3 linked regions of the Coturnix japonica genome follow. The protein of the gene in region 3 interacts with the protein of the main gene of each other region in a biochemical or structural test. Links are inferred from orthologs where the notes say so. Each region holds a gene or a part of one and is shown on either strand. Other genes may lie near its edges.

Region 1 (5,604 bases), on a different chromosome or scaffold from region 3:
TATTTCCAATATTCCATCTTAGAGAACTATACAGGTAGGAAAGTAATAATAATTCTATTCTTCCAAATAAAATTTTCAGGAACCACTCTGTTCTGTGTAGGTTTTCCCTGCACACACAGACTGGCATAATACAGAAACAGGCACAAGGCTGGCATTAACTTTATCATGCTCAGACTTCTAAGTCTGAAGGTGAAGAATGGATATTAACATTTAGAACCATTTTCATTTGGTCACATAGTGTTGTACTCAGAGTGGGAATGTCCTCATTTAAGCAGCTTGTCTAGTGTTAGTTGACAGTGGAGCTGAAAACCAGAAGAACTTGTTCTGCATTGAATGCTTTTGGAAGTGATGCCTCTTTTCTGCCCCAGGCTCACATTTTTTCTGTTGCCTGATTTACATAGCTTGGGTTCCCTTGGCAAAATCTGTAGTCACATGAAATATAGTCCAAGGGAAATTCCAGTGACTATGAGAGGGCATTTAAGCCAATAATGCTCTTGGTTTTGTATAATAAGTAAAAGGAGGATTTTTATTTTAGACTTTTACAGGTGTCATGTGTCTCTTAGCTGAAGTAATTGTTTATAGGAATGAAATTCTTAGCTAGGGAGAGACAAACAGTTCTCAAGGCATACAAATAATGGAGAACTGAAATGTGAAAAATGAACGTAGGCCAATAAAGCAGGGGAATTCTGGAGTCGGGGAAAGTGAGACCTTGCTCCCTCACAGAGTTTTTTAATTATGGGAAGTACATAGAGTGCAGTTCTCTGAACCGTGTGTGCTTGTACATCTGGGAATAACAGGCTACTGCAGCCACAGAAATGAATTTGGTAATGGTGAAAGATAAGCCCTGATGGCTTCAGAGCACATACACAGTCCAACAGTGCACAGAATGTGGGAGAGGTCCTTTGCTGACAACTCCTAGTGTGATTTCTTCAGTTTCTTTTAGAAAGAAAGTAGCTTCACAGATCCCCAAGGCAATGGCACACCAGGGGCTCCTGCCATAACAAAGAGAAACCAGAAACTGGGTATGAAATACCCAGCAGTAATCAGCCACCAAAATAAATATGAGCATTGAAAAGGTATCATCTGCCTACAGGTGGCGTGGAGGCTGTGCTTTTTCATTTTAGGTACAATCTCAGGACAGTTTTATGTGTCTGGAACTGAGGAACTGAAAAAGGTTGTTTGCTGCAGTCCTTTACCTTTGTTCATAGCTTCAAGATCTTTTAAGTGAACCGTAGAACCACGGTAGAATTAAGCAGAACAACACAACAAAGAAAGAGAGGGGAGGTGGAAAGCAATGAAATCCTCCCCTGGGAGCGTGGAAAGTCTTCCAGTTCTTGAGTACGTGCTATCACTTGGATAGCCACAATGTTTACTTCTATGAGAAGGCATTCTGGTCAAAGCAATACATCTTGGCCGGCAAAGCAGTAATTGCTTAGACAACGTTAACAAGACTTAAAAATGGGATGGGAATCTCTAAAGTGTTCTGCAGTGGAAAGAAGGGAGCTACTAATTTTTTCGACCTCGGAGTTGCAGTACTTCTGCAGTACTTTTCATTCAAGACCTACAAATTCTTTGTACATCTCTAAGATTCTGGTGTCCTGGTGAGGTCAAGAACTAAGTGAGTTCTCACTGAGTTTACCAAAAAATAATACTTCCCACTTTGTCTTTATGGGAAATAGTGTCACAGAGACAATATTACAGCAGTGTTGAAACATCAGTATTTGAATTTGGGAGACGAGACGGTGTTTTGTCAATAATGCGATTATCAAGGAACTATGCATCCAGTAGTTCACATGCATCCAGAATTCTTTGGAATATCTGTTATCCCAGGAGCTGCATAATTCCTTCTAAACAGTAATTTTCACCTCTATTTCTGAGTAAGTGCTTGCTTGGGATAACCAGTGGGCTAAGAAAAACACCATTGGTGTGAGTAAAGATTTTGGTATATGTGCATGTCTAGGTAACAGTCTGCACTTAGTGGTGTGAAAACACTGCTTGTGAGTTCCCTTGTTCTAGGCCAGATAATTCTGTACCATTTGTATGCTTGAGTTCGATAGCCAACTCTAAATGAAACAGATTTTCAAAGTATTACTCTCTGCCAAGTCTGAATGCACACACGCATATGCAGGAAATGTTCTGGGTCACACCAACACTTCCTAGAAGGAATCCCCATTGTCTCTGCCTTTTATAATGCCTACCTTGCTGCTTTTGTCAAGCTCGTTGGTTTACCAAGATGTTCAGCTTCATGTAATTCAGATTTCTGCAGGAGAAGGCTCAGTCTGTTTCTCTTCTGTTTTGCTCTACAACAGAGTTCAAGTAGCCTTTAAATCAACCTTAGTAAAAATGTTGGTTTTTTTTTTTCCAGGCATTTTCTTTGACTAATATCTCTGCCTCTGCACCACAGGTTCACTTACACTAATATTTCCACTACTTCTCCTATTTATATTATTCACATTAATTAATTTCTTTTTCAGACATTAACATGAATTGTATATGAAGCACTGGCAAACAGAAGTGGGCATCTTTTTGTTTCCAATACACTTTCCACTAATCTTGAAGGAGAAGGATGAGATTTCATATTAGGAACATGAACGCAGTTCGTGGACACACAAAACAGTTGGCTCAGCATCTTCTACTTTTAATGTTCTGCAAAGAAAAAAGGAAGCAGTGCTTCCTCACACTTGAAGTCTTTACAAAGAATATTTTCCAGCTCACACTAAGGGTTTAAAAAGCCCTTTTCAGAACTTTGTGAAGCCTCCCTTTCCCATTTACTTAGTTTATTATTTATTTGTTTCTTGTTCTTAAAAAATATTTCCTTGTTGAATGAATATTTCATGTCTACAATTCCCAGGCTTGCAGTTCACCAGTTTTCACATATGCTGGTCAAAACCAGAAAGATCTGAGCCCTAAATTCACACCCACAAGCTATGTTAGAAGAATCCTCTGCATAAACAACACTCAAAGTGTCAGCATGACCTTAAAACTTACCCAGGCTTGCTTGCTTTATTTGGCTCTTCTTTAACTGTTGCTTTCGTGACTTTGTAATAGGATTTATCCTTCGAAGCAGAATTGTTCAGTTGAGTGAACAAAAGAAGTGGGTTCTCCATCTTCTAAATAAGCTTCCCAGTTTTACAGAACGCTCCTTTAACTCCCTTACAGTGGTTTCATCTGTATAAGCGGTGTGTTCAGCAAGGCGTGTTCATGCTGTCTCAGGCTGGCTTCCCCCAATTGGCTGTAGATCAGTTTCCAGAGCAGGTAGTGGGAAGGAGGAGGTTCACCACCTTAGCTGTCACTGCAGCTGCACGCACACAGGACTTGAAGTAGAGTTCTGCTTTTACAGTCGTCATTTAAGGAAGTGAGATTACAACTCTGCAAAATGGCCGCTGTTCATACGGACAAACACAGCTTTTAGCAGAGTGTTTGTGGAACTCCACATGCTAGAATCATTAGGATGATGCCACCATCTTCTCCCCATAAAAAAACGTTTGAAAAGTGCGTATGGCTCCTCTAAAATGAACTTCAATGAGAATCGCTTTGTAGTACAAAATGGGTAACGTTACCCTTAAGCTCCTAGAGGAACTTCCAGATGACCTTAAATTGCCTTCTGCAGTCTCCGATGCCATATGCTAGACACAAAGTCAGCTCTACCTACAACATGCTAACAGGAAACCTGGCATTTCTGAGGCTGTCCTGGTGGTTGATAAAATATTTTTGTAAGGATATATTTTGATCTTTGCATCATTTTTCAGCAGTGGTGAACACCTACTGCTAATTTCAAGCTTGTCCACTTACAGCTTCCCATGTATCTTTTGTGGCTTTATTTTGACTTACAGTCTCCCAGCCTGAGTAAAAACACTCTCAGCACACACACATACACAAGAAAGTGATTTATTCTCATTTTAACACCATATAACTAAAAATTTCCTACTTCAGCTTCCATAACCTAAATGTGCTATTTTGTAAGGCTAATTGTCACAAATTAGCTCTTAACATACAAGCTCATTCTCAGTTAAATGTCTCATTCTAGTACAATTTATGTTGGAGATGCCACAGGAATAATAAATCCACCAAAGAAACCACTGTTAGTTGAATAAGAGGCTGGAAAAGAGCAACTGGCATGATGGTCCCAGAGAAAGTCTCCTCGCTATAGCTAAGCGATACCATAGTTCATTGAATCTTCCTCTTCTTAACAGCAGTGACTCATTCTGATAACTCAGATAAGATACCTGGCTTTGAGGAGAAGGCATGACCTCATCCTCTTCCCACAGCGTTGGCTGGTTCTGTGCACTTACTGACATGCTACTAAGTTCAGGTCCCTTCCTTGTGACTGCAGGGCTGAGGAGGAGGGGAAGTACTCGGAGTCCAAAGAATGTAAAAAATCTGCATCTCCAAATTCCTGAAATATAACCACTCCCTCTCTCTATATGTGTATATACTGATTATATTTTATTTTAAAGGAACAGAGAGAAGCTACTCTGTATTACCTTTGTGACTCACATTTTAAGGTCAGACTGAAAGGAAAATACTCAGTGCAGAACTGCTTTTTGTAGCCTGAGCACCTTTGAGAAGAAGGGTTATGGTTTTAAACTACATTTTCAGTTTCAGAGTAGGCTAATTTATCACATCCTGCCTATTGAGGACTCTTTAACCACAGCTGTCTTTAGTAACATATCCTGCCTTTTACCAATAAGTACAAAAATAAACATAGAATGCATTATTTTATTTCACTTTTCATTAACAGAGATGGTCACATGGAATCTTTTCAGCTTTTACAGCTCTGTAATGCTGTGTATGCAATGATCTGTCAGTGCGTGCCTGAAGGCCTTGTCCAGTCCACTCTTACATGACTCCAAGGCAGACGATGCCTCTTAAAATATGACTGTACTGCAGTGTGACAATGGTATCAGCCCAAGCGCAGCACTGTGATGTGCAGCTCCCGAGAACTCATTTGGGCATTTAGAAGGAAAATACAGAATCACTGCAATCAATCTTTTTCTCTCTCTTTCTTTTCTATTTTTATTTTATTTATTTATTTATTTATTTCCATGAAAAGAAAGCTAATATTAAACCCTGTCCCTGAAGTAGCCAAATGACATTAAAGTCAGCCTGTGTTTTGTCAGCGATGGTGCTGGTGCTAATAAGCATTTCTGTTTTGCACTGCAGGCTGCAGTTGTTATAGCAACGGTATTAATGACCCCGTAAATGCTTCTGGGCTGGTTTATATACTGCAGGATGACGAGCTAGAAAAGAGAGTACGTTATTTTAAGCCAGAAAAAAACAGACCTGGAATATGATGTGGATGACATGACTTCAGCCCTAGAAAGCTCTGAAGAAATTCAGGATGAGAACTGATGTCTTAATTAGCAACCATTTATCTGACCTCTGAAATACATTAGCAAACCTTTTACAGATAATTGAATAGAATATGTATTTTCAGAAGTACCTTTCCTTGACACAAACAGCAAAATTGAATAGATCACAAAGTTCATGACGGGAAGCACTGATCTCTTTGGGCCTGTTCCTCAGCTGAAATGTCTCTGCACAGACTGATGTCAGGGTTTGGTAGGGATCCAGTTCAGCTGGTGATTAAGTCATGCTTGAGTT
Region 2 (5,097 bases), on a different chromosome or scaffold from region 3:
TGCAGGGCAGCTCCTCAGGGTGACAGGACAGTCATAGCTTTGGTGTACATGGCATTGGAGCTGGAAGGTGGTGGTATCTCTTGCTGCTGCCAAGCATCACACAAGCAGTTGGCACCAGGTCCCATCACCTCCCCATAGGCCTATGAATCCCCTGGGGTTTTGCAGGGAGCATCTGCCCCAAGTCTGCCTCAGCTCCTGGCACTTACTTGTAGTATTCAGCAGAGATGTCAAATCTCCCAAGGAAGATGTGTGCATTGCCCAGGTTGCTGTATGCTCTCCTCTCAGCTGCTTTGTCCCCAAACTCCTTAGCAATAGCCAGGCGCTGCAGCAGACACAGATGAATGAGTACAGGTTGGCAATGCCAGACTTCTGTTACACAGCAACTTTGCTGGGAGATTAGCTTCTTGTTTTGTAAGAGTTTACATCCAGACGCACAGCGGTGCATGTGCACATCAGGGCTGGATGCAGCAGGAACTCTCTCCATCTTTTGCAACTCAGCATCAGGAAGGACACAGAGCAGAGACATCCTCCTGCAACTCCCATCCCAACATGCTCTTTTTGGCTCCAAGAAAGGGGCAGAACAACTCCGTGCAGCCCCTTCATGTACCTTTTTTCACAGCACTGCTGTCCCCAACACCTTCTCAAACAAAACCAGAGCAGCTCTGGCAGGGCCTGACTGCCTGATATACTCAGTACCCTCCACTTTGAAAGAAATAGTGTCAGCTCTCAACAAGAAACTGAATTGCATTTGAACTGGGGCAGGGACTGCGTGGTCTCACCCCTCTGAAAAGCTTCACAGAAAGTAGCTGTGCTCTACAAACAACAATTATTCCTGATCAGCAGCTCTTTCAGCAGCTTAATTGGATTCACGGCTTGCATTTATTACAATTTAGACTGGCACAAATTAAGCACAGAAAAGCCTTTCCTAGGCCCAGCTGCAAATTGCCCTTAGAAATCTCCTTTGGTTTCCAAGCCAACAGCACCCTTCCCTTACACTGCTCATCAGGTGCTGATGAGGAATGCAGTAAGGCAGCACAGCACATCAGGGCAGGGGCTGACACACATGGGGGTCTGTGCCCCCCACAGCTGAGCAGAAAGCCTGCTCCCTATTGGCCCTTCCATCCCCCAGGGAGATCCCCACATGCTTTCCCACCTCCTTGTGGAAGGCAATGGCTTCGCTGAAGTTGCCAAGCAGGTACTGCGTGTTGCCAAGGTTGCCATAAGCACGGCCCTGTGCAGCTCTGTCCCCCAGCTCCTTCACCAGGGACAGGTTCCTCCTGCAAGGAAGCAGAGCAATATTTGTCCTCCCACAGTCAACCTACAGCACAAGGGTTGCTATGAGCATCAGAGAAGAGATATTATCCCCAGCAAGGCAGGAATGAACCTGAGGATAGGGGGAGATTTATATTCCCTTGTTATGGTTCTTCCCAGCACACACAGAGCTCTCAGTGGCACTAATCTAATCACTGCCTGTGCAACATGCATCACTCACTGGGGAAAGGCTAGCGAGCCACACAGCAGCATTAACACATCCTCAGGTATGAGGAGATTGATGCAAGATCTTGGTGTTCTCTTCATGTAAAAAGCTATTTAAAAAAACACCTGTGTTACTGAAACAAAGCTGAGGTAGTAAGAGAAAACTATTGGCCTAAAAGCAAGCTGGGCAATAACCTTCCTGTGCTGAACATCAGAGTGAACTCTGCAACTGTTTAAGAAAGGGAAGGATGTTACAGCAGGATGAACTACAGATCCCTTCCAAGGGGAAACACTGCTCCAAAGGAAAAGCCTCATCCTTTGGGAGAAGCAGCTCTGTTTGTGGCCATAGCGAGATGTGCAGGGATCCATTCCCACCAAGGCCAGCAGAGAGCAGCAGGGGCCGCAGGAGCTCTCCTCCCAGAGCAGACTATTGAACTTCAGTGCATGCAAAGTCAAGCTGCAAAGGCTTTTATTGAGGCACTAGTAGGAAAAGCTTTAGCTCAAGCTCTGTAAAAGCATGCAGCCCTTCCCTTGCCTTCCTTGAGATGAATTCATTAGCATAACTTGGCCCCTCACAGTTGGAGGAACATTCCTACTTGCTAACAGCATTTTATCAGTGACTGATGCCAGTTCCCTGCAGCACAAAAGGGTGGCCACACTTGAATACTTACTCATAGTATTCTGAAGCTTTCTGTAGCGTCTCCTTGACTTCTTGAGGCAGGCAGCCCGGATCTTGGGTCATGTTCCAAGATAAATGCTTTCCCTTTGCATGGTAAACATTTCCTATGTTATAGAGTGCTCTGGCTTCACATATCTAAAAGAGGGAAGAGAAAGACACAGCAAGGCATTACCCTCCCCATCCCAACATGACCCTTTCCATTGCTGAGAAGAGATGCTCAGCCAAAGCCCACATTCTCCTTTACCACCCTCACTGCCATGCCAGCTTTGCCCATCAGCAGCATCAGATGGGGTCAGAAGGGAGAATCTGACATCCCAGCTCCTACCAGGGCCCACATCAACCAAATCATCATTCACTGGGGCTTGAGGGTGGATTAAGCTTCAAGACAGGAAGGACACAGAGCAGAAACATCCTGCTGGATGCTATGGAGCAGTTACCTTGTCTCCCTGCTCCTGAGAAATGTCCAGGTGTCTCTGACAACAAACAACAGCTTCATCAAACTGCCCAAGTATTTTTAATGTATTCCCGAGGTTGCCACTTGCCTTGGCTTCTCCAATGCGGTCCCCAATGGTTCTACAAGATGACCCAACAAAGGGAAAGGTATTAAAGAGCTGACAGACATTTATTCATCAACTGTTGGAGGCAAAATTCAAGTTACAGAGAGCAAAGTTGTAGCAAACACTGCATGGTATGGACACCACATCCAGGTATCCCCAGCTTCTCTTGACACTCTTGTTCACTGTTTTGCTTTCTCGGTTGGAGACTTCTAATGGCTTCAGGTGTGCTTCCCATGAATGGGGAGGGAAGAATCAGACACTGCCATGTTCTTGCTCCAGCCACTCTCCTCCATATCCCTTCCTCTGCCTCCTGTGTTCTTTATATGATGGTGAATTCCACACCTCAGAGCTACCTTGGACGCTCATTTCTAGGGTAGGTTCCCTCATCCTGTTGGGCTCCGATGCCACAGAACTTTCCTTTGCTCAAATTCTGCTTAGGATGAAGAACAGCCAACACACTTACCTGGCCAGTGTGAGGTCATGCTTATGGTACTCCAGGGCCTTGGAGTACTCCTTTAGGTAGAAATAGGCATTGCCCAGCTGACTGTAGATGGCACTGAGAGTCTTCAGGTCCTCTGTCCCCACCTGCACTGCTGCTTCAAAGAAGGCTGCCCCAGCTTTGAAGTCCCCTGCCTTACACAGACGTTCTCCTTCCAGAGCCAGCTCCAGGCAGGATGCCTCCATTCTGTCAAAAGCAAGATGCCCACCTTTAGACCCAGTGTGCCCATGCCACCATGCAGTGGTTAAAAAGGCAGCTCAACATACATCTAATTACTCACTGCATCAGGAAAAACTCCTGCATGTGAGACAGAAGCACCCAGAGCTACAGGCTGCACCTGTGAGCGGCCACAAGCAGCCCTTGGGTTCGTGGTTGGAAGCAGGACAAGGAACTCGTGCCTCCCAGTGCCCACATTGCGTGCTGGCATCCTGAGCATAGCATGGCATCTGCTCTTCTTCCAGAGGGTGCATAGCACAGAAGTCTCACACTTGGGCTGCTCATGCGTATGCAGCTTTCCCAGGGGAACAGTAAGGGCAGCCAAAGCCCAACACCTCCTCATTGGATACCAGCACAATCCTGGGCTGCACACAGCTCCCTGGCTGAGCAACTGGGCTGCTTTCCATTAGCTCTGCCTGTCACTTTTTCCACAAGCACTCTGCACATCAGCCTGCAGGCAAGCTGCTCTCCCTCCTGTTTCTCAACACCTTTGGCAGCAGTGCACACTGGGCTGTGAGCACAGAGGAGCAAGGCTGCTGCCACTGGAACGCCCTGCTCCCCACTGAGTCCTACATCACAGCCACCCCCAGGAGCTCAGAGCAGCCTTGAACCCACCAGGACAGGGCACAAGTATGAGAGCTTGTGTTTGGAAAGTCAGCCCCTCCAAGACAAGGGGGTGGATGCAATGTGTTCCTGTGTCTCTGCTCAGAGCCTTCTCTTCACTCCTTTTGGCTTTTTTTCCCCCTTTCTGCTTCATGTATTTTAGACACTCAGAGCCACATGGGTCAAAGGCAGATGTCTGCTCTGAAAAATCACAGCTCACTCATCCCGAGTCAGAAGAGCAACAGTCAGACAGAAGATGATAAACACCCAAAGGAGACTTCTATTCTATTCTCAGCAAAACAGCACTGCAGGGAGTTCAGTCATGCTACACAGATTGAGAACAACATGCGTGGTACAGCTGCAGCCCCACTGCTGCCTCCTATACAGGCACACATTGAGCCCTGGGAGATGCCTCCCCCAAAATAACACTCACAACACATCCAGGGCCAGCCCTGCAACCTCTCCCATCTCACTGCTCTTTGGTCCCCAAAGCCACCAAATAACAGCAGGGAGAAAGAAGCTGTTTCACAACCCCTGAGAGTTCCCACCTCAACCAACACAGCTCCTCCACAGCCTGCACCCAAGGGGCTCTTTTACTTGTGCAAGAAGGCTGCTTGTAGTGCCAGCGCAGCATTGCTCCATGCCTGAAGCCCTGTTTGATACAGGAAAAAGGAAAATGTTTGACTGCTGGTACTAAAAATGTTTAACTCCTCTCCACAGTACATTGAGCCAAGCCACAAGAAAATTAGTAAGAATGAGCTTCTGCTGCAGAGTGTTGAGTTCAAGGGGCCCATTGCAGGATCGTGGCGAGCTGTGTGGTTTGCAGATCACTAGAGCAGGCGATGTCAGGAACTGACAGACATCTGCCAACGGTCCCCAAGAAGTTTTGGGGCTGGAGAAAGAAAATGAACACCTAAATGAGCAAAAAAATTCAGGGAACTTAGAGAAGAAACTTGAAAGGACTCAAAATGTGGGGAAATGGAGCCACTGTCACAGGAACTGAGGTTGGGAGGCTGCAGACAGAAGCAGACTCTGAATAATTTTGTTTCACATTTCAACAGTCAAAG
Region 3 (4,056 bases):
TGGTGAGTGGGGGGGATTCATGGTGGGGACATGGGATGAGGGGCTGCCACCCCCCAGCCCCACACTCAGCCCCATAGATCCACCCCACACTCAGCCCCACATTCTGCCCCTCTTTTTGCTCACAGAACCGCATGCACGAATCCCTGCACCTCTTCAACAGTATATGCAACCACAAGTTCTTCGCCGCCACGTCCATCATCCTCTTCCTCAACAAGAAGGATCTCTTCGAGGAGAAGATCAAGAAGGCGCACCTCAGCATCTGCTTCCCTGAATATGATGGTGAGTGATGGGGGGAGATGGGGGAAGGACCCCATAGCACCAGCATGGAACGGCACCAGGGAAACCCCACTGCTGCCCCCCCAGGTCCCAACACGTTTGAAGACGCGGGGAATTACATCAAGACCCAGTTCCTGGATCTGAACATGAGGAAGGACGTGAAGGAGATCTACTGTCACATGACCTGCGCCACAGACACCCAGAACGTCAAGTTCGTCTTTGACGCCGTCACAGATATCATCATCAAGGAGAACCTCAAGGACTGTGGGCTTTTCTGAGCAGGTAGGGGGTGTGGGGGGGGGGGCTGTGAGCCCAGACCCCAAGAGCTGGCAGCAACGGGGATGGATGTTCCCCCTCTTATCTCCCCCCTGTCAGAAGAGCCGACTGCAGCCCCACATCCCAGTTCTGCTGCGCAGAGCCAAGAGGACGACACACAGAGCTCCCCAACCCCCCACTTTTTTCTATGAGCTGCCCCCCCCCACATCTGAGCCCACACTAGGAGGGGCCCCAGCCGCCCTGCCTGCCCCACAGCACAGCTTCCTCTCGGGCAGCACCCACACATTGCACAGAGCAGGGGAAGAGGAAACGGGCACCGAGGGCGGCTGGCAGTTCTGCTACTTAGAGCTGGATGTGCTCTTTACCGGTTGTAAATAAACCCGTGGTGCCGTAGACAAGCCCTGTACGCTCTCATCTTCACTGCAGCCACCAAAGCAGCTTCACTTAGGGAGAAGAAACGACCGAACCAAACCAAACAATAAAGAGATGTGCATGAATGGATGTCTGGTTTGTCCTGTGCTGAAGGATTCAGGCACAGCTGGTGGGACCCCACATTGCAGTGGGGCTTTGAGACACACCAACAACCCACAGCCCCCCCCCCCACACCCAGAGAGAGGCACAAAGGAGGGAAAGGACCCAACTGTTCACTCACCATTTTAATACTGCCAACAGCTACAACAGATCAGAACTGTACACAATGAGAGCCCCCCCCCGAGCTGATGGGTCAGCAAAGGAATGGGGCTGATGGGGTAAGGACGGTACTACAGGATGGCAAAGGGAAGGGGTGGGATTTGGCACCACATATACAGAGTAAAGGCATGCTGTCCATACAGACCCTGCACAGAAAGGCTGTGGGAGATGCACAACACGGTGTGCCCTTCACCAAGCTGCTGTGTCACAACACGCAGCCTTCAGTGCCGCTCCTGCCCTCACCGTGTGCCACCGAGACGTGGCCAAAGCCACATAGAGCTGGGTCAAACCCACAGCACAACTGGCCTGTAAGACATAGAGATACGGAGCTCTGACCACAGCGAGTGTTAAAAAGCAGAGTTCCTGCTACGAGGAAAAGCTTCGGGCACGACCTGCTCACGTGTGTGCATAGATCAGTGAGTTTCTGTTGGTTTTATTTTTAAAACAAGAACCTTTTTTTTTTTTTTGCGAAGAAAGAAAAGACAGTTTAGTAAAGTTATAGTTATCTCAATGGGGGGAAAAATAAAACAAAAACAACCAATGAAACACCTTTAAAAACAGACTAGTGGTGGGTTGGTAACTGAAGAAAGAGAGAAAGCTACATATGGAAGGCCTGGAACCCAGCACCTCGACTCCACACCAGCTGTACACCATCGGCTCACGCCATCCACACGACGTCAGGGCGACGCAGAAGGTCCCACGGGGGCTGTAGTGCCCTGACCCCAACCCTCAACGCCCCCTCATCCATCCCAAAGGTCCCTAATACAGAAGGTTGTGCTAAAGAACGCGACGATTCTGCATGCTGCTTTCAGCCCCCTGGTCCCGCTCGCGCCGCTGTCCCCACGAGGCAGCAAAGTCTGCTTGTGCCAAGGGAGCTCTGTAAGAACTGCAGGGAGAGCAGTGAGCAGAGGGAGCAGCACGGCCCGGCCCTGCCCCGCACCGCTCTGCTTTACCTTCAGTACAGCCCGCACTCCTTCAGGTTGTTCTTAATGATGACGTCCGTGACGGCGTCGAACACGAACTGCACGTTCTTGGTGTCGGTGGCGCAGGTGAAGTGCGTGTAGATCTCCTTGGTGTCTTTCCTCCTGTTCAGGTCCTCAAACTGACACTGGATGTAGGCAGCCGCCTCCTCGTACGTGTTGGAGCCTGGCAGAGATCAGGTCCCTCACTTCAGCCAGCAGTTCACAGCACAGAGGGTTTGGCACACAGATCTTTTAAGCTGCTCGCAGCCATCTGCCTTATCCAGCTCCAAACCAAATCCACTGGTAACCCTCCAGCCCTGCAAACCTCAGCTCTGCGAGGTGCCACCCCAGAAGGGATCAGCACCCATGGGTGGGCTGGGCAGCACCACAGCCCCATGAGTACAGACACAGGCTGGGCTGCCCAGCACAAACCCTATAGACAGAGCCACGGCCACAGGACACAGCCCTGGACTCCAGCCCTGAGCCTGGAGACAGGAGAGCCCACCCCAGCTATGTGTGCCCCCCACCTGTGTACTCGGGGAAGCAGATGGTCAGGGGGGACTTCTTGATCTTCTCCTCAAATAGGTCCTTCTTGTTGAGGAAGAGGATGATGGACGTGTCTGTGAACCACTTGTTGTTGCAGATGCTGTCAAACAGTTTCATGCTCTCGTGCATCCGGTTCTGAAAGGCAGAATAAAAGAGGGTGATGCATCAGTGCAGAGGTATTCGGGGAGGAGGGGTGGGGGGCAGACAGGACAAGGAGCACATTACAGCAGCAAGCAGGGCACAGCCTGAGCCCTGTTTCCAGCTCTAGGGCCATTGGACAGACCCTGGGACCCCCCCCCTATATTGTACCATTTCTTCATCCTCGGCCAAGACGAGGTCATAGTCACTCAGGGCCACACAGAAAATGATGGCCGTGACCCCCTCGAAGCAGTGGATCCACTTCTTCCGCTCCGACCGCTGCCCACCCACATCGAACATCCTGCAGAGGCACAGCACACACTGAGAGGCCACACAGAGCTCTGCCCTGACACGGGAGGTGGGGGGGGCTCATGGAAGGGCCTGGTTTGCACTTCAAACCGAGCACACAGCCTGGGAGCAACACAGAGCCCCCCCTCAGGACCCCAGCGGGCTCTGATTCTCTTTGGAGCCATTTGAGCAGAACAAGCCAAGGTTCAGCCATCAGCTGCTGATTCACAAGGGCACGCTTGTTTTGTTCCCTGCCTCCCATTTCCTTAGCAACAATCCAGTTTGCTTGACTGGACTCCAAACACCTACTCACATCAGCTCTTCCAGTTCATTTACACTGAGCCTGACAAAGGTTTATCTGGAGCATGGCTATCTACCTGCACACTGCTGCTAAAAGAAAACCACTGTGAGGTCAAGAAACGCTTTTATGCATGGAAACAAAGAAAGAAAGAAACAAACAGGTGAGCTGCTGCAGCTCAAAGCTCAGTGTAGGAGCTCCTGGCTATGAGAGCACTGCAGTGCAGCACCTCGGCTGATAGCAGCACTGCTCTGCTGAGACACAGGGCTGCCCAGAGCCCTTCAACCCATCGTGTATCCAAGAGGCACAGAAATCATGAGCACGGATTTGTTATCACAGCAAACACGCAGACAAGGGGGGCACTGTGCAGCATGGGCCAAAAGCAACACAACGCGGTGACGTCAAAGCAGAGAGCCGCAAGAGCAGCTCTGCTAACTCCTGTCTTCTATTTAAGGCAAATGCCCGCTGGTTCCCAGAAGGAAAGAGGAAGATCTCTGCCCAGATAGGGGCTATTTGCTCAGCTTCCACCATCCACCGTGGCTGCTGTTAGCACACATGAATCTGGAAGGAAACAGCATCCAT

Evidence for each region.
Region 1: the proteins of GNAI3 (region 3) and RGS18 form a complex in vitro, tested with the Homo sapiens proteins (2 studies listed by BioGRID). The link is inferred for Coturnix japonica from reciprocal best matches to the Homo sapiens genes GNAI3 and RGS18.
Region 2: the proteins of GNAI3 (region 3) and GPSM1 form a complex in vitro, tested with the Homo sapiens proteins (2 studies listed by BioGRID). The link is inferred for Coturnix japonica from reciprocal best matches to the Homo sapiens genes GNAI3 and GPSM1.

What each region holds. Positions count from the first base shown.
Region 1 is NC_029523.1:3,552,404-3,558,007, forward strand, and holds the start of RGS18 (regulator of G-protein signaling 18), read right to left. Parts: upstream 3,349-5,604; 5' UTR 3,108-3,348; coding exon 2,989-3,107; intron 2,301-2,988; coding exon 2,199-2,300; intron 1-2,198. UniProt on the Homo sapiens protein: Inhibits signal transduction by increasing the GTPase activity of G protein alpha subunits thereby driving them into their inactive GDP-bound form. Binds to G(i) alpha-1, G(i) alpha-2, G(i) alpha-3 and G(q) alpha.
Region 2 is NC_029532.1:6,447,246-6,452,342, forward strand, and holds part of GPSM1 (G-protein-signaling modulator 1), read right to left. Parts: intron 3,398-5,097; coding exon 3,176-3,397; intron 2,729-3,175; coding exon 2,593-2,728; intron 2,291-2,592; coding exon 2,148-2,290; intron 1,278-2,147; coding exon 1,154-1,277; intron 323-1,153; coding exon 207-322; intron 1-206. UniProt on the Homo sapiens protein: Guanine nucleotide dissociation inhibitor (GDI) which functions as a receptor-independent activator of heterotrimeric G-protein signaling.
Region 3 is NC_029541.1:1,617,266-1,621,321, reverse strand, and holds the end of GNAI3 (guanine nucleotide-binding protein G(i) subunit alpha), read right to left. Parts: intron 3,190-4,056; coding exon 3,060-3,189; intron 2,886-3,059; coding exon 2,732-2,885; intron 2,389-2,731; coding exon 2,198-2,388; 3' UTR 2,196-2,197; intron 2,129-2,195; 3' UTR 1,194-2,128; downstream 1-1,193. Other genes in the region: GNAT2 (guanine nucleotide-binding protein G(t) subunit alpha-2), read left to right, coding at 1-2, 126-279, 364-554. UniProt on the Homo sapiens protein: Heterotrimeric guanine nucleotide-binding proteins (G proteins) function as transducers downstream of G protein-coupled receptors (GPCRs) in numerous signaling cascades.